Linked DNA regions of Struthio camelus. The main gene of each other region encodes a partner of the protein of the gene in region 4 in a complex. Links are inferred from orthologs where the notes say so. Each region holds a gene or a part of one and is shown on either strand. Other genes may lie near its edges. The genes, in order: DDX6, CNOT2, NANOS1 and CNOT1.

What was found.
Region 1: the proteins of CNOT1 (region 4) and DDX6 are in contact, whole or in part, in a crystal structure (PDB 4CRW), measured with the Homo sapiens proteins. The link is inferred for Struthio camelus from reciprocal best matches to the Homo sapiens genes CNOT1 and DDX6. Residues at the interface, in NP_057368.3 of Homo sapiens: Glu1097, Ala1100, Phe1101, Phe1103, Asn1104, Asn1105, Leu1106, Ser1107, Ser1109, Asn1110, Lys1114, Lys1137, Arg1138, Ile1141, Glu1142, Asn1144, Phe1145, Leu1148, Tyr1149; in NP_001244120.1 of Homo sapiens: Phe329, Ser330, Arg331, Leu332, Gln333, Ile334, Asn335, Gln336, Leu357, Gly358, Tyr359, Ser360, Leu384, Arg386, Asn387, Ala402.
Region 2: the proteins of CNOT1 (region 4) and CNOT2 are in contact, whole or in part, in a crystal structure (PDB 5FU7), measured with the Homo sapiens proteins. The link is inferred for Struthio camelus from reciprocal best matches to the Homo sapiens genes CNOT1 and CNOT2. Residues at the interface, in NP_057368.3 of Homo sapiens: His1864, Ser1865, Ala1866, Ala1867, Arg1870, Asp1871, Gln1917, Pro1921, Ala1923, Pro1925, Ala2003, Tyr2036, Leu2039, Glu2040, Ser2043, Arg2045, Ile2048, Ala2049, Ala2053, His2054, Leu2079, Leu2084, Lys2086, Gln2089, Ile2090, Leu2091, Tyr2092, Lys2093, Gly2094, Leu2096; in NP_001186231.1 of Homo sapiens: Met350, Val351, Asp353, Gln354, Phe355, Gly356, Met357, Ile358, Gly359, Leu360, Leu361, Phe363, Ile364, Arg365, Gly372, Met373, Val374, Leu376, Ala377, Leu378, Gly379, Ser380, Asp381, Leu382, Leu385, Leu387, Asn388, Leu389, Ser391, Glu393.
Region 3: the proteins of CNOT1 (region 4) and NANOS1 are in contact, whole or in part, in a crystal structure (PDB 4CQO), measured with the Homo sapiens proteins. The link is inferred for Struthio camelus from reciprocal best matches to the Homo sapiens genes CNOT1 and NANOS1. Residues at the interface, in NP_057368.3 of Homo sapiens: Ile2327, Ile2330, Lys2331, Trp2338, Glu2350, Phe2353, Gln2354, Val2356, Ala2357, Met2361; in NP_955631.1 of Homo sapiens: Phe40, Ser41, Ser42, Trp43, Tyr46, Leu47, Leu49, Thr51.

What each region holds. Positions count from the first base shown.
Region 1 is NC_090963.1:135,017-142,343, forward strand, and holds the start of DDX6 (probable ATP-dependent RNA helicase DDX6), read right to left. Parts: upstream 3,016-7,327; 5' UTR 2,882-3,015; intron 1,867-2,881; exon of another isoform or gene 1,659-1,866; intron 701-1,658; 5' UTR 433-700; coding exon 233-432; intron 1-232.
Region 2 is NC_090942.1:41,015,381-41,022,915, reverse strand, and holds the start of CNOT2 (CCR4-NOT transcription complex subunit 2), read right to left. Parts: upstream 3,018-7,535; 5' UTR 2,879-3,017; intron 1-2,878. UniProt on the Homo sapiens protein: Component of the CCR4-NOT complex which is one of the major cellular mRNA deadenylases and is linked to various cellular processes including bulk mRNA degradation, miRNA-mediated repression, translational repression during translational initiation and general transcription regulation.
Region 3 is NC_090948.1:7,455,882-7,461,524, reverse strand, and holds NANOS1 (nanos homolog 1), read left to right. Parts: upstream 1-4,192; 5' UTR 4,193-4,197; coding exon 4,198-4,968; 3' UTR 4,969-5,136; downstream 5,137-5,643. UniProt on the Homo sapiens protein: May act as a translational repressor which regulates translation of specific mRNAs by forming a complex with PUM2 that associates with the 3'-UTR of mRNA targets. Capable of interfering with the proadhesive and anti-invasive functions of E-cadherin.
Region 4 is NC_090951.1:23,133,223-23,140,651, reverse strand, and holds the start of CNOT1 (CCR4-NOT transcription complex subunit 1), read right to left. Parts: upstream 3,017-7,429; 5' UTR 2,881-3,016; intron 1-2,880.

The DNA.
Region 1 (7,327 bases), on a different chromosome or scaffold from region 4:
CAATTTTCACAACTACTAAATTACTAAAGACCACTGTCAGAGAGACGCTCACACCTGAAAATCCTTTCTTTTTTTAAATGCATGTCACAGGACACCTCTGTCACCAATATCATAAAACAATAGAATAAAAAACTTTTTAAATACAAGAAACCAATTACACTTTCCCATGCATGAAATTTAAATGTTATTTTTACGTCAGCTAACGTTATTTAGTATTTACATGAATACTTACTTAATAGTGGTGGTCATACTCTGTGCTTGCTGTTGAGTGCCGTTATTGATTGTGTTGGCATTTTTCAGCTGGTTCATCTGTTGCTGAGTCTGTGTGCCTCCACCTCCTGGGCCCCCGCTGGGTTTAACAGGGCCTCTCAACTGCCCATTCTGACTGGATAGACCCATTATAACAGGGTTCTCTGTTCTGGCCGTGCTCATGTTTTTATTTTTAAAGATGTCTTTTTAGACTTCAAAACTTTGAAAGTCAGTACAGAAACTGTAATAACAGTTTATTAGACTCTCCAAAATGAAGAGATAAATAAGTCTTGCTCAATATATGAGTCCTTTATTGCAATGCAGGCAAGCACCTGTAAGTCACTCAAAAGTAAAGCAGTAACTTGCTCTGATGCACTGTGGATCAACTTTTTTTTTTTTAAAAAAAGCCCTCTAACAAAGTTGAGTTATATCCAAATTCACTTGCTTCAATCTGAAAAAGAAGCAGATGACAACAATTAATATGTGGATTTCTTGCCTATGGAATTTGCATCTGTTTATATTGTAAAACTGCCTGCAATAACATGCATTACCTAAAAATCACTTCTTCTCAGGCAGCATGCAACACAAAGTACCTGCTTTTCTATTTCCTCGGTTTAAGTACCCCAAACACACCAAACTGTTTTCCCTTGCTATAAAGCTGAGTGCAACACTGTAGGTCACCGGAGATCATTTTGTGAACTTTCAGCAGCCTTCCTGGGATTAATCACTTGAAAAATACTACCTAGCCCCCTTGTAAAGTAGGCATGAATTATATCAGCTGCTTTGCCTATCCTTGAAATGCACCCACCTTTGGGACACAGCAGAGCAGCCATAAAACACTAAGCAACAACATCACACAGAAGTTTATGACAGAAAGTAAGACCACAATATCGAATGGACATTATAGGCAGAATTCAAAAGACCCTTAAGATACTCTGACTTGTCCTTTCAACTAGAAATAGGAATGATGACATACCATCTTAAAAACCCAACCAACTACAGGAGTGACTTGGAAGTTTTCCCTCATCCACCCCCAAAAATTAGTTTAGTCAGCTTACTTTAAACCAATACCCAACTTAAACATTTATAAATCATTCAGAAGAGCAAAACTTATGACATCATCAAGCTGAACTGACAGCAGCTTCCTGCTTTGTTAAGTCTAAATGACTGCACCTAAACTGTTCTTTCATCTCTAGTCTGAAGCAATGAATAAACACATGTACACTAGGTACGCAGCTTCCTGCTTGTGTGCTGCATGACGTTACATTCCAGCTGTCACTAACAATCCATACCGCGCTCAAAAGATAACATTCGAATGCGTAACTTGACAGTGACGTCATACTTAACAAAAGAGTCGACAAAAACATATGCAGATAATATAAAGCTTGTATCTTACATATAGCACGTACATGGCCAGAGTTGAAAAACTCTTCTTATGATGGTAATAGGGAGCCAAGACACTCCCTAGTCTAAAACTTTTTTAGAGGAACAGAAAGTAGGCTTGCAGGTAACATTTCTCATTGCAAAGCATCTGCATCTTGGGACAATACAAAGGGAAAACCAGCAGGCTGATGATTGCCAAGTTCAACGTCCAAAAAAATGCATACTCCTCAGCGACTAAAACACAGATTTAAAACAGATACTGGCATCTGAAGTTTAAAGTGACATAAATACTATACTTAGGAAAGCAGATAGAAACGGAATTCAAACTCTTCTCGAATTGTTCAGCTGTTTCCCAGCGTATTGATTATAGCTTCATAGCATAACTTCAAGCTTATTAGAATTAAGATTATTTCCTAGTTAGTTTCCTGGCTAGAAGCACGGTTTAAACATCTTCTTTGAAAAGACAGCCCCCCTTAACCTTACTTTCACACCCAAACGGACGAGTCACCTAAAAACTCCGGATACACCAACAAGAGTTCCTCCAATGTTTTTATTAAAGGGAGTTCTAGTCCTCTAGCCTCCCTCGTTCGTGCTCATCCTTTGAAAGGCAGCACACAACCTCCCCAGGCCCGGCACACCTCCACGTCCAAAACAAGCAGCGCCACCATTTCACAAACTGGCGGTCCGACCGCAAAGAGGCCCCCGCACCCCGGGCTTCCCCTGCCGAGGCAGCCCACGTAGGCAGGCGCGGCAGCCGCCCCCCGGCCGCTCCCTCCTCCGCCGGCAGCAGATACGACACACCGCTCCGCGGCCCAGCCGGGCGGCACAAAGCGGCCGCCCAGCCGGCCCCGCCGCGGGAACCCCCGCGGCGCCCATTGTTGCCGCCACCCCGGGCCAGGCCGCAGCGCGGCGTCGCCCCGGGCCCGGCGGCGGGGCCGCGCCGCCCGCGCAACGCAGCTGCGCCATACCGGCACCTCCCGCCCGCGAACAATGGAGAAGCGCCCGCTCGCCCGCGGCCCCGCCGCTCGGGCCGGCAGCGAGCGCCGCGGCCGCCGCCGCGCCGCCGCCGCCTCCCGCACCGCCCCGGCCGCAGCCGCCCGGCCCGCGGCCCCTCAGCGCCGCCAGGCCCGGGCCAGGCCCCGCCGCTCCCGCGACGCGGCGCAGGCCGCGAGGCTCGGCCGGGCGGCGGCGGCCTCCATTGCGCTCCCCGCGGCCCCGCGCCCGCCCCGGCGCCCTGGCCCGTCCTCACCGCCACCAGCCGCGCTCCCCCCTCGCTCAGGTATAAAATCCTCTCGCTCCCCCTTGGTGCCTTGTTATGGCGACTCGACGCTCCAAGATGGCGGCTTCCTCCTTCCTCCCGTGCGCCCTCCCCCTCCCGGCAGGGCAGGCCAGGCCCCGCCCCGCCCCGCACGCGCGGACGCACGCACGCAGGCACGCGCCGCGCCGCGCCGCGCCCCGCCCCTGCCGTGCGTCAGCGCGGGGCGGGGCCGGGGCGAGGGGGCGGGGCCCCGGCCTGCCGTTGCGGCTGGCGCTGGGGGTGCCTCCTGGGCACCGCCGCCTTCCCTTCGGCCCTCGCGGCCCCGGCCCCGGCCCCCCCTTGGCTGCCTCCCGCTGCCCGCCCGCCGCGCTGGGCAGCAGCTCTCGGCCCGGCGGTCCGCGCGGCCGGCGCTGCTGCGGCTCGCAGAGGCGCCCAGCTCCTCCCGAAGGAGCTGCGCCCTGTTCTCCTCCAGGGACGGCCCCCGGCTTTCACTCCTTATGAAGAAGGTCCAAAGCCGGGCTGAGCTCAAAACTCCTTCCTTCGCGACTCCATCCCTAGCTTCCTTCTTTCAGCACCTCTTGCCGCCCCCCGTTTTCCTCTCCTTTAGTGAGCTCTGCACCTGCTTTACCATCCTGAACTAGGAACTTTCCCTATGGCTCTGTATCCGCGGTTCGGCCGACATCCAGAGAGACCTGATTCACTGCGCTGCCGTTATCTGCGAAGCCATCTGCCTTGCAAGAAAAAGGAAGTAGGAGGCGAGCGTGTTACGATCTACCTTTGCTAAGCGTGGGTCGCATTTTATACTGCGTTCATTCAGTTCCAGGCCCTCTGATGTGCAAAACACGCGCTGAGCCCTGCGCGTTATTTAGATCAGAGAGACAGGTCTGCCGTGGACCGGATCACGTTCCCTCCCTTCTCATTTGTTATTCTCGACTGACATGGCAGCGCTCCTGCACTGAGAGATACGCACAGATCATTGCTGCTAGACCTGCAATTTCATGCTCCAGTTCTTTTAGTGTTCTGGGATGGAGATTATACAGTCACTGTCCGTGTACACTTGGAGCGATCTGCATTTTGCTTCCCCCTCAGATGTGGCAATTTCCATTTCCACATCCTCATTTCTCTTGAGCCATCCTGCCTTTTTGCCTGTTCTTTTCACTAACAAACACAAAATATTAATTCAGTCCTGGGACACTTCCAGAGATATTAAATTTCCAAAAAGTCTAAAGGCATTGGAGGGTGGGGTGGACAACAGAGAAACACACATACACAATGCAAATACATGTATTGCATTGGCGATGAAGATGCACTTGCACCTGAAGCTACATAAGTATTTTTGCCTATTTACATATCCCTAAAATAGGGAGGAGGGGAAAACATAACACCGAAAACAGAAACCACCAGCCTTGATGACTTCTCTGGCTAAGAAGCAGAATCTATCTCAGACCTAATATCAGAGCTACCAAAAAAATGTATTTCCTAATAAAAAGCCTGGAAACTGAACATGACTTCACTGTGTAGTTATTATAACAGAGTTAACATGAGCAAAACATTAAGGATAGGAGACTGACCCACAGCATGCAGGAGCTAGAATCACCTAATATTACACGTTTGAGATAGTTATTTCCTTTCAATATATCTATTATCAGTACAAGGATTTTGAAGAATTGAAGCACAGTATTAATGTGCCTTCTGTTCCAAGCAGCACAAGAGAGAAAGACAGTTGTCGAACCTTTCAGATGCCAGGGGCATGAAAAAGTTGTACCTCACTTCTTTCTTACTGTGCCAGCTGGCTGCCTTTCGGCCTAATTATTGCAGAGGTACTAGCTGGGACTGTCTTTGTGAAGCCGTTCACAGCATCAGGGACTGTACAGTCCGTTCTGTACAGGACCAGTACTGACTTCTCCAGTGCCTGCTTGGTTCTCAGACCCTGCTGTGGAGAGAGCAGTGTTTCATTTTAACTGTCGGTAGGGCTAAGCATCTTACTTCACAATGAGATTTACAGGACATAGTATGCAGTAACCTTAGGAGAAAGAATAAATGACAACATAAATACCAGATTAGCAAATACGAGTAACATCTGTGGGCAGCACATGGTTTGCTTAGTTAGGATAACAGCAAACAGGATGACTTGAAAACATTGGAAGTGAGAAGATTCAGCAGTGAGAAGTGAGCTGGGTTTCTCAAGCATAGCTTAGGAAGCCAATATAATGTCAAACCAGTCAGTAGAAATGTTTGTCAGTTATGCACAGTAGGGCAATTATGTTCAAGTGGTGCATTTTATCCTCCTTATATAAATCTGAATAATTCAATATTATCGGAATACCTTATACAAGTTAACATAATTTTATGTTAGTGATAATACAAGAATGGTTCTGTAGTGAGAGAATGTTCCTGCATCAGAGTTCAGCCGGGAGTTCCCATGTACGGACACCAAAGCATTCCTCAAATACTTGTCTTTGCACTTTGGTAAGATTTTCTTCCGTAATAGGCTACCCACCTGCTGGCATCCTCTGAAGTGACATTATTTTAAATCTGAGTTTCTTTTTTCTACACTTATTTTTCTTCCACGCTCCTTTCTTTCATATCACGTTTCCTACATTTCACAATTCAGCAACGCAGAGATCCTCTAGGTCACATCGGTATGGCAGCAATCATCTACTCAGGGTATTGTGGGTTTGCAATTTAAATCACTTGTGCCTATCGCTTTGGGATGAACTCTTTTCATTTCCACCACTGGTCTAAGGGCCAAGCACATGGCTTGGGGGTCGTTTCCAGCCTACAGTTCCCTGTAGCATTTCCTCCAATTGACTGCAGGTACATCCTGCGTGCTATCCTTGCAACAGAGTAAGTTCTGCGGTACCACTTTCACCTATGAACTCACAGTACTTTACTTCGCCCTTCGCTTCCACTTTGCTCAGGGGGCAGCTGGGCGGGGGGGAGGGGGTAAAATTTGTTCGAGGTCGCAAGAACAGAGGCCTCATGGGCAGAGCTGGTCATAAGTGCACCCTGCTGCAGGTACGGTCCTCTGGGAACAAGCACCACCGTCTGTGTGAGCCCTTAAAGGAAGTCAGTGATGGAGAGTGCTCCACCCTCCGTTTCTAGTTGAGGGAAAACATCCTCCTTAATCTCTCTGTCTCCTCAACACAGAGGTACCACACTTCGGTCCTCGTCCCTCAGCACTGGCAGCTCAGCACCTTGGGACACGTGAGCCACACAGAGTGAGGCTTGCTGCAGCAGGGCGCCCTCTTGGTCTTTACTCCACCCACCAAGCAGGGCATGCGAGGCACAGCGCGACCTCCCAGATGGCCTCCCTCTACCTCGCTGCTTGTCATCCTCTCGCTCCAGTGTAAAAAAGGGCACCTGAGGGCTGCCCCCGAGAGCGCAGGCCGGTGCACGAGGAATTTCCTCAGTGATGGGGGGAAGGAAGGATGGCACCACCCTCAAGGCAGCCGTGTCTCTGCTCATGGCTGCCTCAAGGTGATTGTCCATCAGGCCAGGGTCACCGGTTCACCGCTAAGAGGCATCAAGAGCAAATAAAATCAAATGGTGCTCACCAGAGTAACTTCTCCTTCCTCTCTGATCTGAGTCCCATCAGACTCCTTTCCAGTACAGCGCCTTCAGTGCAGCTGCGCTCAGACAAGAAGAGGGCAGGCACCCTACACATCAAACCATTTTGTCTCCTCACAAAGATAAAGGCCCCTGCCAAAAGCAGCCCAGGCCACAATGTCACTCTGTGCTGCTCACCTCACCTGAGGTTTGCACACCATGAATTTGCTGCTACGACAGTCCTGGGATGAAACACTCATTTCCCAGAGCGGAGAGGTTACCTTTATTATGGGCAAAATTATGGGCTTTTCTTTACATCATACAGCAGATCATTTGTTTCTGTTGTAGCGCTAGACAAGCCTCTGCTCACTAATGTCATTCTCTGGACTTGTGGAGCAGCCGCTGAGGCAGCGCTTTCCAGCGCAAACCACTGCAAGCCAGCCTGAATGAAGGTGAGGGCTGAAGCAGTGGGAGAAGGAGAAGAAAAACAGCTGCAGGTCACTGAGGTTAAAGCAGATTGTATGACCCAGAGGCAGAGGGCAACGGTCCCACAGACCAGACTTCTGCGTTTCCTCAGGCATCTTGAACATCTTGCATAGCTCCAGAAAGTCGCCCCAACCCAGGGAGATTTCTAGTAAGACCGTCCCTCAGCACAGTGCTCTCCAAACCCTGCCAGGTTGTTCCGGCCTTAGGCCCCTAGCAAGGCAGTTGCCAAGAGCCCTCAATGTTTGCAGGGAGCAGCTAACGCGTCCTTTGGGGCTTCTTTGTTACAGATCAAAGGAACCATAGACTTCTCAAACTTTACCTTAAAAATCAACTTACAACACTTTAAAACAAGGATGATCAAGCTAGATACTAATCGTCACATCAAATAGGTCTCTCTATGCT
Region 2 (7,535 bases), on a different chromosome or scaffold from region 4:
TAAAGGAACAGACTATCCTTTATCATTTAGAGAGCAAACATCTAAATTTGTGACAAAAAGTTTTTTGACTGAATATGGTACTGTACCTCTATACAAACTGGCATAGAGCCCTTCTAAGCTAACGTTTAGAAATAAACACAACAAATATGACAAGTATTTTGCCAATGATTTGAGTTTTTTTTAAGAATACATCCTTTACAGTGCCTTTTAAAATCTGTATTCAAGTATGCTATAGCTTTACAAGCAGAAAAAATCTGAAAAAAGTTAAAAATTTGCACTCAGAAGCTGAGCTGCATTTTCTATACTACCTCATAACAAAACAAAAGCTATTGAATGTTTCTCTACAGTTTCTAGATCAAGTCAGAAAGTGGTGTGCAAGAAACCTCTATTTTAACTAAATTACGGTGTATTTTTAGTTACATGCACCTCTTGAGTCAATAATAACAAGGAGGTACGAGATGTTTTTAAATATATAGAGCTATGATCCAAGGTTGTTTTTAAACTATAATGAAGTTACAATCTTGCAACTTCAGAAAAGACAGGCCCTTGCACCAACACAAGAAATAAATTAAAAAATAAAAACACAGTAGAGGCTACAAAAGCAACGAATTTTCTAATTTCAAAACTAATTCCTGTCTAGACAGAAATTCATTTAGAAATTCGGCAAATACAACACAAACACTTTATCAGAGCTACCATTCCATTACAGGTATACACAACTTTCATTAACGGGCAAAGGTAAAGACCAACACTTTCAGGTGTAAACAGCTAGTTGTGGCACCAGTTTTTAGTATCAAACTTGGACATGTTAACTACCCCATTTCTTCCACTGAGTACCAATCATCTAAAATTAGACTCATTTAAAGAAAATACAAGTTAAATTTCACAAATTCTAGGATTTTTGTTTTTAGTTCTTAGCCAAGGGCTTTTGCTTTCATTAGTTGTTACTGGGGCTACCCGTGCATGCATCAGTTCTAACAACAGCTCCTTTGACAACAATATTAACTTTCTAGAAGAGACGTGTAGACAAGGTTTATCTACTAAAGCTCTCTTAGCTTTATCATCAGCTTCCTGAAAGTGAAACGGAAATACACTTGCAAGTCAAGTCACTCAGCTCACGATATGAAGTATTCAAATCCCTTCCTAAGATCTGAAGCAGTTGACACCTTCAAGTTTATCATGTCAGCTGAATTCTCAGCATAAACAATAGTGGCAGTAAAAAAAATAAAAAAAGGTACTGGACACATACATAGTCTTTAAGATCACAAAACTGGATTTTGCAAGCTGTGTTCTATTAACATGCGATTATGAAAGAACTTGAAGAACACCAATGTACACACAGCAGTTCTTCTAGGTCCAAGTAAAGATATCTTTGCAATGTGAACCTACAAAATTATCTTGCTTTTACAGGCCTTTGCACGTTTTAGGAGTTTGAAAAATACCCCAGTTTCCAGAAATAAAAAGATTTTTCCTAACTGATGTGACAGCAGGTTTGATCATCTTAAACTGCTTCCCCCCAGCTGGAGTTAAGTCCAGTGGCCAGTCACCAGCACCAGATGTTACTGCTGCGCAGGCCAACGCAAGTGCTTCCTTCACACGCTCAAGCTGCACACACATACGCACATATAAAGTTTCCATCTTCCCATAGGGATAAAATAGCGCAAAGTCAGAAACGAGTTTTTCCCAACACAGCCTTGTGAGAAAGCGGAAGCTGCTGAGCCACAACCAACACAAGCAGGTTGTCGTTTTGTCATGTTACAACCCTCCCTGAAACAAAGCTACCTGTAACGTGATTAAAAAACATAAATTCTAAACCCGTGATATTTGCAAGCAAATCAGAGTTCCAGTCAGAAGCGCGCACACACACGCACACACATATACGACAGGGTAAACACTGCGCCTCGCACTCCTCCCCGCCAACGGGGCTCTCCCACCGCAGCCCGCCGCTCCTGCGCGCTGCCCCCGGGCCAGGTTCACGCCAGGGCGCCCGGACCGAGGCACCACCGCGCACAGCACGGCAGCATCCGCGCTCGGCACAGCGGACCAGTTCGCTCCAAGTTTGTTTTACAGACACGGTTGAGGAAACACCGGAGCCTCCTTACACATCGCCTTAACCGCCGCCAGGAGGAGAGTGAAACGGGTGCACGCACAAATATATATATATATATATTTATAAAAATGTATACAAAATTTTTTTTAAAAAGCACATTTTTTGAAAGAAAACAAGGAAGAAGTATCCCCGCCTCACCCCCTTTCCTCAGCCGGGGCCTCCCCGGGGCACCGAGGGAGCAGGCCGCAAGGCCACTCCGGCGAGCGGCGCCGCCCGGCAGCGGCGCCCCGGCAGCGCGGCCCGTGGGCGCCCGCAGCGCCGCGGCCGGGGGCGGCGGAGGCGGCGCCGGGGGCACCGCAACGCCGGGGCGGGCTCGGCGGGGCGCCGGCGGCCGCGGCTAGGCCCGGGCCGGGCCGAGGGGCTCTGCCGGCGGCCGGGAGCCGTCCCGGGCCGCGGTGCCGGCCGCAGGAGACGCGGGGCCCGGCGGTACGCGGGGCCCGGACGCCGCCGCCGCCGCTGCCGAGCCGCGGCCTCGGCGGGCCCCGAGCGGCAGCGGCGGCGGCGGGCCGGGCCGAGCCGGGCCGGCGGGCTGCGCTGCCTCGGCGGGCGCCGCGCGTCCCCCCCGCTCCCCCTCGGAGACAAAAGCAAACGGAAACCCGGCGGGGCGGCCGCGGGCCTGCGCGGCCCCGGCGCGGGCGGCGGAGCCGCGGGGCCCCGGCGCGGGCGGGCGAGCGGGCGGCGGCGGCGGCGGGGGGCCAGGCGGCGGCGGCGGCGGGCGGGCGGCGCGGCGAGGGGGCCGAGGGAAAGGCAGAAACGGGCCGGACTCACCGCATGAATTTTCTTGTCCCGCGAATCCAAGATGGCTGAGTATCCCAACTCGGAGGATGCTGGGGGAGCAACCTTTACCCTCTGACCCGGCCGCCGCCGCCGCCGTGACCCCGCCGCCGCCGCCGCCGCCGCCCGGCCTGGCAACGCGCGCGAGGGGCGGGGAGAGGCGGCGCGGGGCGGCCCCGCGGGGTGCGGCCGGGGGCCGCGGCGGGCGGGGGCAGCAGCAGGAGGAGGAGGAGGAGGAGGAGGAGGAGGCAGAGACGCGGCGGCGGCGCTTCCCTCCGCCTCCCGGGGGAGACGCGGCCCAGCGGCTGGGACCGCGCCGCCGCCGCCGCCGGGCCCCGCGGCGGGCAGTAGGCCGCGGCGCCCCGCCGGCCCCCATTTTGTGAAGGCCGCCCCGTGCCGCTGGGGACATGGCGGCGCCGCGGGGGACCGTGCGGGGCGGCCGCCGGCTGCCCCCCCCCCCCCCCCCCCGCTCCCCGGCCGCGCCGTGGCTCGGGGCCGTGGGGCTCGGCCTAGGGGGGCCGAGGACGGGAGCGGCCCTCCCGATGGGCCCAATTTTGCTCAAGCTGGTGGGGTTTTTTTCTGTGGCTGAGGTAGCGGCGGGCAGCCAGGCCCTCCTGTGCGCTTGGCCAGATATTAAAATGGGGAAAAAAAGTTGCCCAGATGGGACTGCTCTGTTATTTTGTCCTTTTGTTTTCTTTTTTTTTAATTTATCACCCTGAAAGTATGTGTGTCGGTGCTACGAGTAGGGCACGTGCGGATGCCCGAAACACTCCCAATGCAAATAATCCCCCTGAATTCAGTGGGACTGTAAACGGTGCTGAAGCTAAGCCCGTACATGAGTGTTTTACGGTTGTGAGCTGACTTCTCTGCCCCATCAAGAAAAGCTGTTAGTGGAACCTTCCGCATTAATTTCATTATGAAATCGTCATAAAGTTTGAAAATTCAAACCAAAAAATGAACATACTTTATCAGGAACAGGGTTTGTTTTTTTTTTTTCCCCAGTCTCTTCATAGGCATGCTTTCTTCATCACTCAGGTACCTTCATAATGAATGTCTCCAAACAGAACTTAAAAAAATATGTATGTTCAGTAGGTTACACAACACCTACGTTTTAAAGAAATGTTAATATCTACAGTAATACATCTGTCAACATAAGCAATTTTTGAAGCTGAAAGAACACATTCTGCAAGCTAGGAAACTGGTTCATTAATGCCATCAACTTTTTGCTGAGCACAGTTACAAGGTGTCATGTCATTGAAATAAATATTCATACACTTCACCCAGGAAAATATTCTATTTTATTATCCTTATTTTGGAACCTTTCCTTTGTATCTCAAATACCTGTATATTTGCTATAAACTAACCATTATAAAAGCCCAGAAGTGACATCCTGTTTTAACTAGAATATCTATGAGATTTGGGAGTACTTTTGTTGTTCAATCTAAAAAATATTTCTTCATATCACGTTACAGACAGTAAGGCTATGCTTTCAAACTGAAGACAATAATGAATCTCATTAATCCTTGCTCTTATTTAATAAGCTTTTCTTACTGCCTTGCTGACCATTGCACATCCCTTTTGTAAAAGTTTTACTCCATTATGTTTCTTTTTATGCTTCAACTGAGTTTCTTTTTCTAAATTTCATTCTGTTCCCCAAAAGAGAGACATCATTTAAGACTTTACAATGTCCAGTACAATATGATGCAAGTAAACTAAACATCTGATGTTTTCGTTGCATCTGCGTGGACTGATCTCTGTATCCATTACCAAGTTACAGTTCACATGCAGGTCAGTTAACATTCATGCAAGGCTATATAGTTCAACAGAGCCAGGGAATGCAAAAAAGTGTGTTTTCATTGTCTTAGCCTAATATGATAGCGTAAGCAGCAATCGCAACCTGTGTAAATTGTGATTTAAATTCTGTCAGTTAAAAAATCTAACCTGCCTTTCTCCGTGAAATTGTGTGTTTCGTTGTGGAACGCTGTCACTGTGACTATACTATGTGTTTATGTGACTTCCTCATTTGTTTTCTTAAAGAAAGTGAAAGTTGTTAGCATTTTAGTGGTTGAAAATAATCTCAGGTTGATAAATAGACTGAGTTGTGAGGAATGTGTTGCCTACATTTGCTACTTTTACTATTGGCTGAATACATTTTTCTACAATGGTGAGGCCTGTTTTGCGTAGTGGCACCTGCATAATTGAAGAGGTGTTCTGAGCTCATTTAATTAAATGGCTACTAATTGTGTGTGGACGCTCCTAATCCATTTTGAACCTGACCCTTGTATATTCAGTTTGACCTCCTTGGGCAAATCTTTGTCTGCAAACCAATACGCATTTTTTATTTTCAATTCCATTTAATTAAAGGTCTCCCTTTTTTTTTTTTTTGGACTTATTTCACCAACTAGGCTGATAAGCATCAATTTTTTCATCAATGTTAGACTACCTATTGCAAACCTGTATACAGCAGCACAGATGAAGGAACAATGTGTGATGGCAGCAGCTACAGAAAACCTGTCTTGCAGCTCATTGCATGTGCAGGCCCATGCAGTCAAGTATTAATGGGGTTCTGATGAAGTCAAAAGCATAGTTTTCTACATGAAAGGCTGGGGCCTTAATGTGCATATTTTGATGCAGCCATGAAACTCATCTAGCCATTAGTATTCCCAACTGACTGTTGCTTATGCTGATACCCACAGAGAGCTAAAAGCCTACAGCAGTTGGGTGGAGCACTGGCAGCCTGAAAAAACTTGGGAAGGTGGCAACAAGAGGGAGGGATGTGCTCAGAAGCCCTAAATGCTTTGTTATCGCGACTCTGTGAGATCACTGGAAATTCTGTGCAGTTTTTCTTAGTACCTGCTCCAGAAAGCCTCTGTATGCTAGCTGGCTCCATTCAAAGTGGCACTGAGAGATGTGGACTACGCAGTCGCAGAAGCAGGAGGAAGACAAATTGCCCAGAGTATATATGAGGCACGCACGGTTAGGAAGTTCCATCTACCTTGCCAAAATGTAAAATTAAATTCCTGATAATAAGACCACCATCCTAGATCATGAGTGGAGGCAGAATCTGATGAATAGCTGGTCTTGTAATTCATTTTAATTAGAACAAAGAAGTGCATTGGAGAGCAACAAGGGTCTTTCCTTCTTCAACCTATAGATTGCCTCAGTATTCCTTAAGAAAAACAAATAGTGCAATTGCCTAGAGCAAGGATTAGCAGCTTTTCAATGGTGATGAAATAGGCCATATTTCTCTTCCACAAATTGACGTTAGTGCATTAGAAGAAACTCAGATGGAGCCAGAAGATTTTGCCCCTCAGTTGCAAGCTGCCTTTGATTAGCTAAAACAGTAAAATGTTGCCTCCAAAAAAGGCAGAGGTTTCTGGTTTCTACAGAATTTGGAACTGTGTAAGACCCGCCGTGAACTGGGAGCAGCAGCTTCTCACAGATACCTTTCTTGCTGCATGATTTTCAAAACTGTCCATTTGCTGTCTTTGGAGCACGACTGTAGGGTGCTCACCTGTTGACTATTATGCACTGATCTTTGCCTCAGAAGAACGTAGATTTTTTCATAAATACAGCCTATTTGATTTTAGAATATTTCTAAAACACAGGATAAAGATAAGTCAAAGCATATGTTATGCCAAATCTGTTATTCAAGATCTCACCACAAAGATGAGTTTGTTTTTTCAAGAGCGCAGACAATAAGGCCCCTCATTTTCTCACTGTAGTGTCTCGTAGTTCTTATTTATTCCACTGAAGTGGAGCGCTAAATACTTTGATTTGGGAGGAGGATTTGCATAGTTAGGCTGACTTTTGCAAGTTAGTCTGCAGTTTCTAGTTTATTTAGATAAGGTAAGGAAAGGCTCAACTGTTTCCATGGCACTGTCCTCATCTATCCTTTCACTCCTACAGGGGATTTCCAGGGATGGCTACTGGCAAGGGAAACCCTGGAAGTGCAGCTCCATTAGTGTTTTACTGTTAAAATGCAGTACAAGGTATCCACACAGATGGCCTCTCATCTGCTGGATTTGTAGTTTCCAGGAGGGAATACTGGGAACAGGAGGGGAGGTGTCTTCTGTCTCAGATATATTCAGTCTCGGATATATAGTATAGTCTCAGATATATTTTTACTGTCAGGAAACCCTATCTCAGCATTCTGCCGTAGTCCCTTCAGTGTATGAATTAGTGTTAATTATATCAGAGCATCAGGAAAAGAATACCAGGATTAAAAAGAAATCTGCCAATTCTGTAGAATAATATGACCCAAAACAGAAGATAAAATGTAAGATTTTCCAAATATAAGATGCTTCGCACCTACTGTATAACAACTAAGAGGTCAGCCAAAGAGTGTGACTAAATTAAGGGATAAATCAAGAAATAGAGATGGCAGCAGTTTGCTGTAATTCTTAAGACAAAGAGAAGGACAGTGCTACAGACAGAAATATGTTTTCCAAAGGAAAGGAAATATTAGGGAAACACAAGGAGAAGGTGCTGACTGACGTTCCCAAGCGAGACTATCCCTGGAGAGACTGAAATTACAGGAGTGATGACAGGGGAACCCTTAGTATATCAGTTCTCAAGATTGTAGGCAGTGGTGGTTTTGTTGGTGGTCACTGGAGAGTTGCCTGGTGAGAAGCTCTGTTTCTCATTGGAA
Region 3 (5,643 bases), on a different chromosome or scaffold from region 4:
TGGAGTAAGCTTTATTCCTAATGTATCTCTGCAATGAACCCCTAATCTCCTCTCTGAACTTGACAGCTGTCCTGCATGCACTCCAAAACCCCTGTATTTCAATCCTTCTATCATTCTAGCTAAAGGATTTGTTAGATCATTTTTTCTTTAACATGAAGTCTTTCTTCCAGCACCTCCCTGGCCTGTTATTGGTGTGCGTGAGAGAGTGGCACCATTTTGCTTTGGCCCTGCAAGGCTTCCTGGACCCCAGGGACACCTCACCTGCGGCGTGCTGCCTAAACCACCCTCTCGCCACGGCACTAAAAGGTGGCATTTAATCCTCGGGCATGGTCTGGGGACTCCGAACAACACAGTTGCAACGCAGGGGAGCGGGGTGGCACCGCATACCGGTGGCCACCACCGCTGCTCCGTGGCACTGCGTGGAGCCGCTGCATCCTGGGAGCCCTCCCGCTCACACCGTGCCGCAGCCCGGCTGCCGGGCCTGGGCTCCTTCTGCCCCGAGGGCCAGCCAGCGCGGGCACTGCACACCACCGCACCACATCCCTGGGCTCTGCTGCCAGCGCAGCCCAGTCGGAAGCGACCTGGGCAGGGCAAGGCCACCCTTGACAAACTCCAGCACCCAGCGGGAGCCCCGCTATCAACCTTCCCGTGCAGGTGATTCATGCCCGGCTTTCCGCGCTCACAGCTGCTTCAGTCCGTGACGCGGTTTCTCACGGCTCGGAGGGACTGCAGAAAACTTTCCCCTTCACTGGGCATAATTTGGCCCCTGGTGTTGAATTCACAGTGCCAACAGCTATTTGTCACTTCCATTGCAGCCTCCAATTTTTCCAGGGTTTCTGCGCAGCCTGGCCACTAAATCTTGCACGAGACAAGGCACCAAGACAGCTATGGCCTTACACTATCAAAGACCTTACAGGGGCTGGCAAAAGGCTACTTTGGGATAGACTCAGAAATAGTCCCAGTCTCTGGCTGGAAAGTAGGCACGGAGCGCCAAGCATTGTTTTTTAATGCAGTTCTCAACATTTCTCTGCCCTGAAGCATATACCAGTTTTCCATTTGCAAAGAACACCAACATGCCAGTGATGGGGGAGGAGGTATTCCCTTCCAAGGTGCAGCTTTTTCCTCATCAGCCATTCGTGACAGTCTTGATTTTTGTTTACTCTTTGAAACGGTCTGATGAAACGGTTTCGCTAAGGCATTGATCTGTCCCAGTGTCAGCAGAGGTGTTCCCTGCTCCTGCACCAGCGCTGTAACGTGCCACCCAACAAGCGGGCGCAAGGTCAGTAGGGAGCCTGCTGACGTCCGAGAGCTCTGCAGATACCCCGTCTCCGAGGAGGCAGCCCTCGCAGCGAAAGTCTTGCTGCACACGTGGAGCGTGATTTGCAAACATGTGGACGGGGGAAGGAGCAGAGTGACTCTCGCAGTACACTCTGTATATTTACATTGACAACATATGCTAGGTCTACCAGAGCTGTCGGTGAAATAAAGGGGACTGTTCCTGCCGTGCTAATAGCAGGCGTCTATCCCTGCACAGTGTTTTTCTAGTGCAGATATTTTTCATGCTGCTCTGTGTTCTTCATCACACTCTGCATTGGCAGTGAGGGGAAGAGGACCGTGTTCCTCTTTGCCTGTGCCACTTCAGCTGCTACAGCATAAAGTGCTTTGAAATTATTCACTCTCCAAGACTCCCTCTTAGAAATGTCTAGAGAAGTAGATGAGCAAAACAATTGCCCCAGGAAATGATGCTCAAACATTTTGATTGATCTCCCTGCACTGTTTCACCCATCTGTTACTTCTTTCCCAGTGGCTCCAGCACAACTTGCAGGCGCTCACCCCTCTGGAAAATCAGGCTATCCGTTTGTGTTCAGAGAGGCAGTATCCCCAAGGCTCACTGGGCAAGCCCTGAAATGCTCCACTGAAGAGACAGAAAGCTTGTAACGTCACTACGTCTCAGAGGCTCTGCAAAGGGCTCTAAGGCCAAGCCTGATGCTACACAACTGTGAAATGTCCGTATGGTCAGCTGGTGCAGAACCACGTCTGACCACGAGGACAGCTCCAGCACTCGGCGTATAACTAGTAGAGATGCTCTAAAACGGGACCTCTTTTGCAAATGTTTGCACTACTAACACGAGCCCTGTCTTCCACCCATTGCGTTCACAATCTGAAATGTTTCCAGCCCGCTCTGTTCCCTGAAGCCAACCACACTGTTCTTTGCTGCTCGATACACCCACTTCCAGCCACTTTACACAGCTGGAGAGGTGTATAAAGGCCTGGCGGTGCAGGGAAATCGGTCCCCCAGGAGGTATTTCTGATATCTGAGTTTATGAAATCTGCCAATTTCAGCTGCAAACAAACCACATGCAAATGCTGATTTACCTGCCAGGGGAGCGCCTGTCAGACCCACAAATCAAGGCTGTGCACTGGGGAGACAGATTTACTACTGACAGAAAACTCCACCCACTTTGCTCAGCCCAGCAGCTCTTACCATGGGCTGGAAATTAATAGGATTTTTAATTGCAGCTGCATTTTTAACCCTTTTTGCCCAAAAGGAAGAGTATGCATGTAACGCTTCCCAGAGGGGGATATGATTTCCAGGGGGTGGACCAGCTGTGAATTGTCGGGGGGGGACATGTGTCTCCCTACCACCGCCCCACATCCAGCAGCCCAGAGGCCAGTTTGCAAGCACAGGCCGGAAAGGTGACATAGGCAGAGCTGGGCCAGCAAAGCCTAGGTTGATTGGGTTCCCCAGGCGGGTGCTGCGGGACGCCTGTGTCGGTCCTGCTCTCCGGGACTTCTCACACTGGTGGCGTCCGTGGGCACAGCCACGTCACACCGTGCGTTCACAGCTGTAATGTAGACCAACCTCATCCCATTTGTTTCTAGGGCTGAATCTTCCGGACCGGTTTCACGTGTGCTTCAGCCATGCCTCCTTGGAGACGTGATCCAAAACCTCCTGTTCCTTGTGAAGAGCGGTTGTGAAGAGAAGAAATAATCCTTGCCCCGTACATACTAGCACCTATGGGAAGACATCCGTTGCCCTCCATGAGCTTAACAGGTACTAATCACCTTCCAGTGTGGGGGTTTTATGTTACCAGACTTGTTTCATCCTTACATCACCCCGCTGAAGACGGAGAAGACGACGACGTGAGGCTGCGTGCGAGAGCTCGTGCTTTGCCCGCTCCGAGCTGCGCCGCTCCGGCCCAGGGCTGCGCGGAGGAGGCAGAGCAGCTGGCTCTCGGGAGCCGCCGCGGCCTCCGCTCCGGGCAGACCGCCGCTCGCCGCGCTTTGCCAGGACCGAGGCTGACACAAGCCCGTTCGGGCAACCGGACAGGACACCAGGCAGGCAGTAAGGCACCTAGCTCTCAGATCACCGCTGCCAACCCGCCTAGAGGACAAGGGCATCACTGCGGGATATTCAGACACTAGGTCAACGGATATACTCCTAAAAGAGCGACGCCGTTCCCTTGCTTTGGCTCTGGGGATGGCTGAAGAGCAGCTGGAGGTTAATGCTGCCACTGACCTCTCCCCACAGCACCACAGCGGGCGAGCGGCGGCCCGACCCCAGCACGGGCCGTCACCTTCGGGCGGGGTTTGCCGCTCCCGCGGCCAGCCTGGCTCCCGGCTGGCCGCAGCGTGCCACGGGCCGAGCTGGCCGCTCCGGACCCACCAGTGTCCCGCTCTGAGCGCCAGCGCCCACGAACCGGCCAGCCGGCTGCCTTTCCCGCAGCGCGGGCGCCGCCGGCGGCGTTGGGGGTGTAGAAACGGGGCGGGCTCGCTCGTCTCCGGCGGGGCATCGCCCGCCCCGCTCCCGGCCGCCGCCGCTCCGCCGCCGCTTCCACCGCTGCACCCAGCCGCCGCCGCCGCCGCCGCCGCCGCTCCGCCGAGCACCGAACGCGCCCCCGCCCCGCCAGCCAATGAGCGGGAGGGGGCTCGGGCCGGTGGCCAATGGGAGCGCGGCGGCTGCCCCGCCCCGCCCCGCCGCCCCCCCGCCCCTATTTGAGGCGCGGCGCGCGGCCGCGCGCTCCCAGAGGCTTCGGCGGCGGCGGCGGCGGCGGCGGCGGCGGCGGCGGCGGCGGCGGCGGCGGCGGCGGCGGCGGCGGCGGCGGCGGCGGCGGCGGCAGAAGACCCGACCCGACCCGACCGGGGCGGAGCGGACCCCCCCCCCACCGCCCCGAGGAGCGGCACCCCCCCCCCCATATGGAGGCTTTCCCCGGCGGCAAGCTGGAGCAGCACCGGCACCTGCCGGCCGTGGAGCGCCTGCCGGGCTCCCGCTACGGCGCCCGCGGCCACAGCGGCTGCGGGAACGTGTTCAACTCCTGGAACGACTACCTGGGGCTGGCCACGCTCATCACCAAGGCCGTGGGGCCCGGCAAGGGCTTCGGCGCCGAGCCCCCCTCCGTGGTGGTGGCGGCCGCCGTGCCGCCGCCCGGGGAGGAGGAGGAGGAGGATGAGGAAGAGGAGGAGGCGGCGGCGCCGTACTTCGAGGGCGCGCTGGACTTGCACGACCTGGCGCTGTGCGGGCACCACCACCACCACGGCGAGGGGCTGCTGGAGGAGCGCTTCACCGACTTCAGCCCCTTCCCCGGGCGCGGCGGCCCCGCCGCCCTGGTCTTCGGCTGCTCGGGCGAGCACCCGGGCCGGGAGGGCTCGCCGCACGCCTGGGGCGGGCTAGTGGTGGCGGGGCGGCTGCCGGCGCACCCGCGGGCCGCCTCCCGCCTGCTCAAGCCCGAGCTGCAGGTCTGCGTCTTCTGCCGGAACAACAAGGAGGCCGTGGCCCTCTACACCACGCACATCCTCAAGGGACCCGACGGGCGCGTCCTCTGCCCGGTGCTGCGGCGCTACACCTGCCCGCTCTGCGGCGCCAGCGGGGACAATGCCCACACCATCAAGTACTGCCCCCTCTCCAAAATGCAGGCGGCCAAACAGCTCAAACACGCCCGGACCGCCCTGGGCAAGAAGGTGCGCTAGGCGCGGCCGGGGACGCCGGAGGGGCGAGCGGCCGCGCAGCGGGGCCCCGCCGCCCAGGAGACCTCTTCCTGCTCTTGTCTTTTTTTTTTCCCCTTTTTTAAGATTGTCTTAAGAGCGGATTACGTTTTGTTCTTTAACACATTAATATATTAAACGCGGAGACTAGAGTGTGAGAGTCCCCGGGCTGGTGTCTTGCAGCGGATAGCTTCTAGTTTGTGCGCTTGGCGTTCAGGGAGCCCAGCGCGGAGCCTAACGCTATGTCATGGTAATTGCGCCGTTTAGATGCACTGTATTTGTTTATTGTATAAATATATATATATATATATGGTTTTTATAAGAAAATGGGTTTTACGACGAGATCTAATGGCGAGGCGTGTCGGGAGGGGGTGTTAGAAGAAGCGGTGGGCGGCGGCGGGGCCGGGGCTGCGCGGAGCCGTCCCGCGGCCGGCGGGGGGAGATGGCCCCGTCGGACCCGTCTGCCCGGGCCTCGCGGCGGGGCGGCGTCGCCCTCTGCTGCCTTCTCGCCCGGCCGCCGGGGCAGCGGCGCGCCGCCCTCACCGCTCGGCCCGGCCCCGGGCTTTGTCCTGCTCCGCTCCGGACCGGTGCGCAGCGCTGCTTCCCTCCGGCTGGTCCCTGCTTTCTTGCACAGCCTGTTCCCGCAGCGTCTGGACTGCG
Region 4 (7,429 bases):
AAAGGATGATATGAACAAATCTGAAGTCCTCTATACATATTCAGAAACAGCCTTACAAAGAAAATCATTTTAAAAACTTCTTTAAGTTAGCCTTTGGTTTGTTAATATTTTGCAAAGCTAAATAACTTACTCCCATTGGGTTTCAAGAGCTGTACAGATTTAAGGCCATGTGTATTCCATGCAGAGGGTAAAACAGCTCAAGTGACTGAAAGAGCATCAGGCTCACTGGTAAAGTTATAAGTTCCTGTCAAAAAACATCTTCTAAAATATACTATGAGCAACACCACTAACCTGCTCTTCAGAATAAGTCTCTTACTCATTTCTGCAAAATCCATGCACAAATAGAAAATATGAAAGAACTGCACGCTTCAAGAGACCCATGTTAGAAATACTCCTAAAGGGAGGAGGGGGAAGGTTTCAAACCACATTACAGTTAAGTTAGATTACAGGCAGTCATTATGAAAACTACGCAAAGGAAAACCTTACAGCATTGGTCACATTAATAGTACAGTAAGCTACAGCTGAATTCCACTTGTTCAAATTTAGGTATTTACACATAGAGGAACCACCTGAATATTCTGTTTACTGTGTAACTACACACAGCTCCAATCAACTGGAAGTCACTGATGCTGATTAAACATGGTAACTAATTTGGAGATAACAGCTGAACTAAGCACACATGCTTATGCTCCTGAGTTAAGGCCAGTTAAGTTTCAGGTGCAGAACCTACCTCAAACACATCAGGCATACATCATGACATGGCAACTTTACACATCTCAACAAGGTATTTTCACATCTCAACAAGGACATTTTACACTAAAAAAAAAAAAAAAATCCAAGAAACTTTCACATCCTCCTTTCCCTTCAGTTAGGCACTGCAGCATAAAGTTTCCATTTTAGATAAATTAAGGACCCATTCTCAAAGGCAGTAGACTGCTTTTTCCATCCAAAAAATGTTTTAGAACAGTTAAGTGTTATAACAAAGAAGTAAATGAGAACTGCACTATTTGTAAGAGTAGCCAGGGTTATGAAACAAAACAGAGATCTGACTTCAACGATGATTCTCAGTGGTACAATTCTCCCACTATTTATTGATGACCAATCACAGGGTCACAAAGCTTCACTATCCACTTTTGCTCATTAATAGCTGCACAGTCTCTGTTCCACCTTATTCAGTATTGCCTTGAATACCAAAAGTAACCATTTCAGCATCAATTAAAAAAAAAAAAGTATTATGTATCTCGGAACACTATGCCAGAAGAATAGAAAGGATTAGGTCCTTCTCCAAAGAGGGGAGATAGGCAGACACCAAGTTTACTAAGAGTTTGGTTTAGGGATATCAGGACAATGGGATCAGTAGTTAAAAGCCTACTTATAAGCATAAGGACAAAAGAACCAAGGAAATAACTATTCTAGAAGGGACAAGCACATCTATGTATTACCTGCTAACTTTGTTTCCTGCTTACAACACAGTTACCTCATCTGGACTAGCTCTACCTGTAGTTTTAGTCAATGACAACGCAGTTACCTTAGAAATAGGAAGCATTTAAGTTACATGCCTCAAGAATGACTTGTCAAATGTCATACCTGTTTTGTTACCTGCTTAAAAAAAAAAAAAAAAAAAAAAAGGAAGCCAAGATGCACAGGGAGTATATGTTGTACTTCCTTCTAAAAAGTCAGACTCAGAAACAGACACTGTCTAAACTTGTGACACAGTGAGAGGCTAAGAGTCCCTATTCATTATATTTACACACAAAAACTTTCCATATTATCTCATTTCTGTTTGAAGTACAACCTAAGAAAATATTTGTGGTCTGCTGAAATTAAATCGTGACTGACCACTAACCTTAATCCATACAGAGGATGTAACACTAACTCAGAGTAAGACAACTACTGCAAAGGACCTATTTCTAAAAAAATAGTATCTGTCAAAACAGCCAACTGTTGATAATCCTAGTTTTCAAATAAGCAAGTCTATGCTACTATGCAGGGTGCCCTTAACGAGATGACAGTGCTGAGATGCATCTCTTCCGTGTAGTCTGCAGCAAGGATATACTACCAGATTGTACTACTATATTCCACTGTTTACGCATTACTTTTTTTTCACTGGGCAAGTCACAACAACACAGATCTTCTAAGGAGGTCACCAAATCTAACTCATGGGTAGGCCCAGCGCCTGCTCCTTTTCAAATTTCTCACAGCTTCGCCTTTCACGATCAACTCTACAGAAGTAGAAAGTAGACAGAAACAAAGACAAAATAAATGGCTGAAGACTTCGCTGTCATCTCGAAGCGATCAAAACGCAGTCTGTTCGTGGAGCTTTTCTTCCTGCGCCGAGAACCGCAAGCAGCATCCCGCGGACCTGAAAACACTCGCGGCTCCCATCAGTTATCACCACCATGCACGGCCCAAGCCGACAGTGAGGCGAAACCCTTGGAAGTGAGACCCTTGAAAGTTTGTTCGCCTTTTGCTTCCTTCAGCGGGACGCCGGCTCGAGAAATGGCAAGGGCAGCAACGGGGACGCGAGGACCGGGACAGTGGCGGGCAGGGAGCGGGGCAGGCCAGGCCTCGGGCGCCCCAGCGGCAGCACCACGCGCACCCCGGAAACGACGGGCCCCGCGGGCTCCCCCTGCCGGCCCCGCCGCCTCCTACCCTGCTCCCACCGCCGCCGGGGCCTGGCCTCGCCGCGGCCCACACCACGGCCCACCAGTCCCCCTTGGGGGGGGGGGGGGAAGAGGCGGGGGGGGGTCACCGCCGACACCGCCCCCCTTCGCGCCGGAGGCTCCGGTGCTCCGACCACCACCCCACCCCCACCCGCCGCCTACTGGGACTGCCGGGGCGCGGGCCGAAGCGAGGCCAGCCGCAGCGGGCACCTCTCACCTCAAGCGGTGGGTCAGGGCCGGAGCAAGGCGGGGGGCTGGGGCAGCTCGCGCTTTTATCCTCTCGCCTCCGCTGGTTTCGCTACAAAATGGCGGACGGGGTCGCGCGCTCACGTCGCGGCCTTTCCCCTCCCCCGTCCCCTCGCGGCACGGCAGCGGGGGGGGGGAGGGAAGGCGTGGAGGGAGAGGAGCAGCCACTTAGCCTCCCGCCCCCTCGCCAGGGGCTCACCCAATCAGAGCGCGTCGCCGCGCTCGGTCTACCCAATCAGCACGGCGCGACCTCTTGGGGACGTTCACCCATCTTCCCCCCTCCCCGGCCTTCCGCGCGGAGTAAGCGCCAAGCGCCGATTGGCCGAAAGGAGGAGGCGTCCTTCCTACAGCTTTGGCCAATCAGAGCCGGAAGGCATCCTGACCGAAGCATGCGCAATAAGCTGCCAATCAGCGCTCGCAAGGGGAGGAGAAGGCTCGAAAGGCCGTCCAATGAGCGCAGGGCGCTCCGCTGGGGGCGGGGCAGGAAGGGGAAGTGGAAGGGGAGCGCCAAAGGGCGCGCGGAGTCATGGGGGGGAGCACCGCCTCCGCCCGCCCGCCCCCCGCACTAGTGTCGGCCACCCCGGAAGGGCCCACCCGCCTGCGTGGGGGGCGCCTGGGGACCCACGCAGCCCGCCTCGCCGGGGCCGGCCGCCGGGACGGCTTCCCTCCCCGCGAGCACACGCAGTGGTACGGCCCACCCGCTGCCCGCTGTGGTCCAGACCCTCCATGCAGAGCACTGCAGCACCCCCCTCAAGACTGTGGTACAGCCCCAAGCATTGGACTGCCCCCCCCCACAGTGTAGTGGTACGGCCGCGCATGCTGCATTCCCCCTCAGCAACATGCACTGCAGCTCCCCCTTGCATTGTGCTGATAGGGCCCCACACACTGCCTTCCCCCACACCCACACAGTCCAGTGCTGCAGCCCCACACACTGCACCCCCCCCCTCGCAATCCACTGGTATGGGGCCTAAACGCTGCATCCCCCTTGCAATTGGGTGGCATGACCCTGCACACTGCAGCACTCCCCCTTGGCTGGCAGTGCAACAGCCCCACACACTGCAGCATGTCCCCCACAGTGCAGTGGTATGGCCCCCTGCACTCCCCCCACCACATGCACTGCATTCCCCCACTGCACTCCCCGCAGTGCAGCAACTCAGCTCCATGCACTTGCACCCCCCACCCCCGCACAGTGCAGTGGCCCAGGCTCCCTCCCAGGGGTGCGCACGGAGGCCATTTTGTGCCAACCTGCCCCAGAGACCTCAGCTGTGCTGGGCCCTGCCCTGTCCTGCATGGGAAAGGGAGGTGGGCTGCCCTGCCTTTCCCCCATGGCATCCCTGCCAAAACCACTGCTCCATTTGCCCACTCAACACATTTATTCCTATGTACATATACACAGACAGGTGAGCTGAACCCCTGCCCCGCAGCGTGCGGTGGCGGGGTGCCCAAAGCAGCTGGCCTGACCCCACAGCAGGCAGTGCAGGGCACTCACACGTGCGAGGTCTTGGACAGGAGACTCTTGCACATCTTCAGCAGCCGGCCAGGCCAGACATGTTGCACCGTGTGCCCCAAACCCCGCACAGGTGGGAAACGACAGGTGCCATCAGGGCGCAGGGCGGTGCCAGGCCAGCACCCCTCCCGGCCCTGGGGCAGCCCTGCGCGCAGGGACAGCACCTACCTTCACGTTGCTCTCTTCTACTCTTGGGAGAAGCCAGCAACCCAGTCGCTGCAGTACCAGGGCTGGCAGAGCCAGAGAGTGGCCTTCGAATGCAGCTGTGGTGGGAGTCTGCGGCGGCCGCCTCACCCGCACAGCTCCCAGGTGGGCAGGTGGCGGGTGACGTGCAGAGCTGCCTGGACATCGACACAGTTCAGCTCAACGTGTATGGCCGCAGCGTCGAGGCAGGCCGGCACGCCAGGGACGGAGCTGGCTTTCTGGCGACGAGCACACGGAGCAGACCGCACGAAGAGGCACCTGCTGCAGCAATGACCTCAGGGCTGCTTTTCACCTCTGGACCTTCCTGCTCCCAGAGCCCCCCCCCCCCCTCTCTCTCTCTCTCTCTAATCCCCTGAATTTCTGCTTTCAGGGCTTGCACTATGCTTGCTCCCTTCTTGCCTCCTCTCCATGCCTCAGCCCCTGTGGCACCTGTTTTGCGTCCCCGGAGGAGGACCTTGGGCTCCGGACCCTGAGATCCAGACTGCCAGCCTGTCCCCAGGCATCCCCAGGACCTGGTGGTGGGCGTTCTCCAGGGCACAAGGGTGTGAGGAAGAGGATGAGGCAGAAGGACCAGAGGGGCGATCCCGCTCTCCTCTGCAAAGCGCTTTGCTCCAACAGATTCTTCCTTCCTCCTCTTTTTATCTTTTTGCACCCCAAACTGTTCCTACCAGGAAGAGGCAGCTGGCCCCCCCTCCCAATGCCCCGGCTTTGCAGAGCACCCCTGCCTGCCTGCAAGTGTCACAAGGGCGTCGGGGCTCAGACAGGCTGTGCTGCTCCCTGCCCAGCACCGCCAAGCCTGGCAAGGGCCTCCGCAGAGGCAGGAGGGGCAATCCCGCGCCCCGCCTGCTAACGGCAGGCCCAGCAGAGCTGCAGTGGTGCCTGTTCACAGCTGGCATAAATCTGAGTGCAAGGCTGGCAGTGACATGTTCCCAGCCTGGGATTACTCAGCAGCCCCTCGACATTAAAACGGTCCCGGTGCAAAACGCTGGAGAAGTTGGCCGTGGAGCGTTGCTGGTAGCGGCCCCCCCCCCCCCCCATAGCAGGGGGCGTAGAGATCGTAAATGTTGAGGTCAATGCCACAGATGATCCCGTACACCTCCTTTATCTGGGAGAGCGTGAGGGAAGGGCCGGGCTTAGCCCATGGCAGGGAGAAGCCCCCTGTCAGGGCTCTGCATGCATCAGAGCCACTAGGGACTCTGCACAAGGTGGGTGTCAGGGGACGTGCCGTACACTGAGCCGCCCCATCCCCTCCTGTGCCCCGAGCACCCCCGAGCAGAGCCCGCCGCTCACCGTGGCCATGCAGGCACTCTTCTAATTGCTGTTGAAGAAGTTGCAGACACCACTGGCACGGCAGTGTTGGCTGAGCGAAGCTCACACCTGCGGGCAGAGGCGGGAGAGGTGATACCCCCAGATGGGACATGGTGGAGGAGGAACACGCCACACCACCGCTACCGGAGATGAGCATTTCCATCATAAGGGCCCCAGCGAGGCACATACATGCCTCCTCCCATGCCCTGTGTCCCCCACGCACCCGGAGACAGCTGGATTCTTTGCTCTCCCTTTCCCCCCAGCTCTCCCCCATTTGCAGCACCTGCTGTTTGCCTCTTCCTTGCACAGGTCCCAGGCAGCTAAGCCGTGGCCCATGGATGAGATAGGTCCTGCTCTCCCCCACTCACTCATCCCCCATGATCCTGAGGTAGCAGGAGAACTCCATCAGCATCAGGTCGTTGAGACTGTAGCTGCTCATGCCATTGCTGATGCCGAAGCCCTGCAGGAGGAAGAGGAGGAGAGTCGTTCCCATGGAGGGAGAGCCCCGCATGCTCCCCTCTTCATGATGGGCCGTGCAGGCAGCATGAGCTACGTCCAGGCCACAGCAGGTATGTCCATCCCAGTGCTCAGAGAACTGATAATATCCTGGGTGGGTTCCCTATTGCCTTGAGAAGGATCCAACCCCCCGGTATGAGTAGCTCCCTGAGGGTCTGCATGGACGCAAGGTCTAATCCCATGTGGTGGGGACATAAAACATAAGGGACAACATGTGCCACCTCCTACCAGCAGAGCCCTGCTCTACCAAGCATGTGTAATCCAAGAGGGACCACAAAACGTCCTTCCCCTCTGTGGCCCCAAATCCCACCCCATTTCTGTGCTATCCTAGCACCACATTCAGCCCTGTGGGAGCACCAGGCATGTGGGGAGCTGCCCACCCCTGCCTCAGCCCCCGGGACACCTTCCTGCACCGAGCTGGGGCAGAAAGCAGCATTCAGCTGCACCGCCTGGGCTGCACAGTCAGTCACCCCCTCTAACCATACCTTAAAGTTGATAGATGCTGATCCATGAGCGATCTTGGCACTGAGCATGGGGATGTAGACCCCCCTGTGTAGCTCTCACCAAAAACATAGAAATCATTGCTGATGAAGCTGGGGAACTTGGCAAAGAAGATGAGGAGCACCTGGTAATTGCTCCCTGCCACCTCGAAGGCCACCAATGTGGCCTTCATGACTGGCTTCATCTAGCCTCCATGGCTGGCTGTGGGGGCAGACCATCTCACCAGGGGGAATGGAGGATATCTGATGTGCTGCTGAGGCTGGTCTCCATCCTGGCTGCCCTGTTCACAGCATCCCCAACCACCAGCCTCGCTGGAGGCAGCGCCGCCAGACTCGGGGTAGCCCCCAGCTCCCTCATAGACATTCGGCTCATGTGGTTGTCTTTGATGGACTGAGCACTGGCAGAGGAGTAGGAGTAGCCAACATTGTCCAGCGATTCCAAGTAGAGCGTGTTGGCCACCTTATTCCAGCTAAAACAGATCATA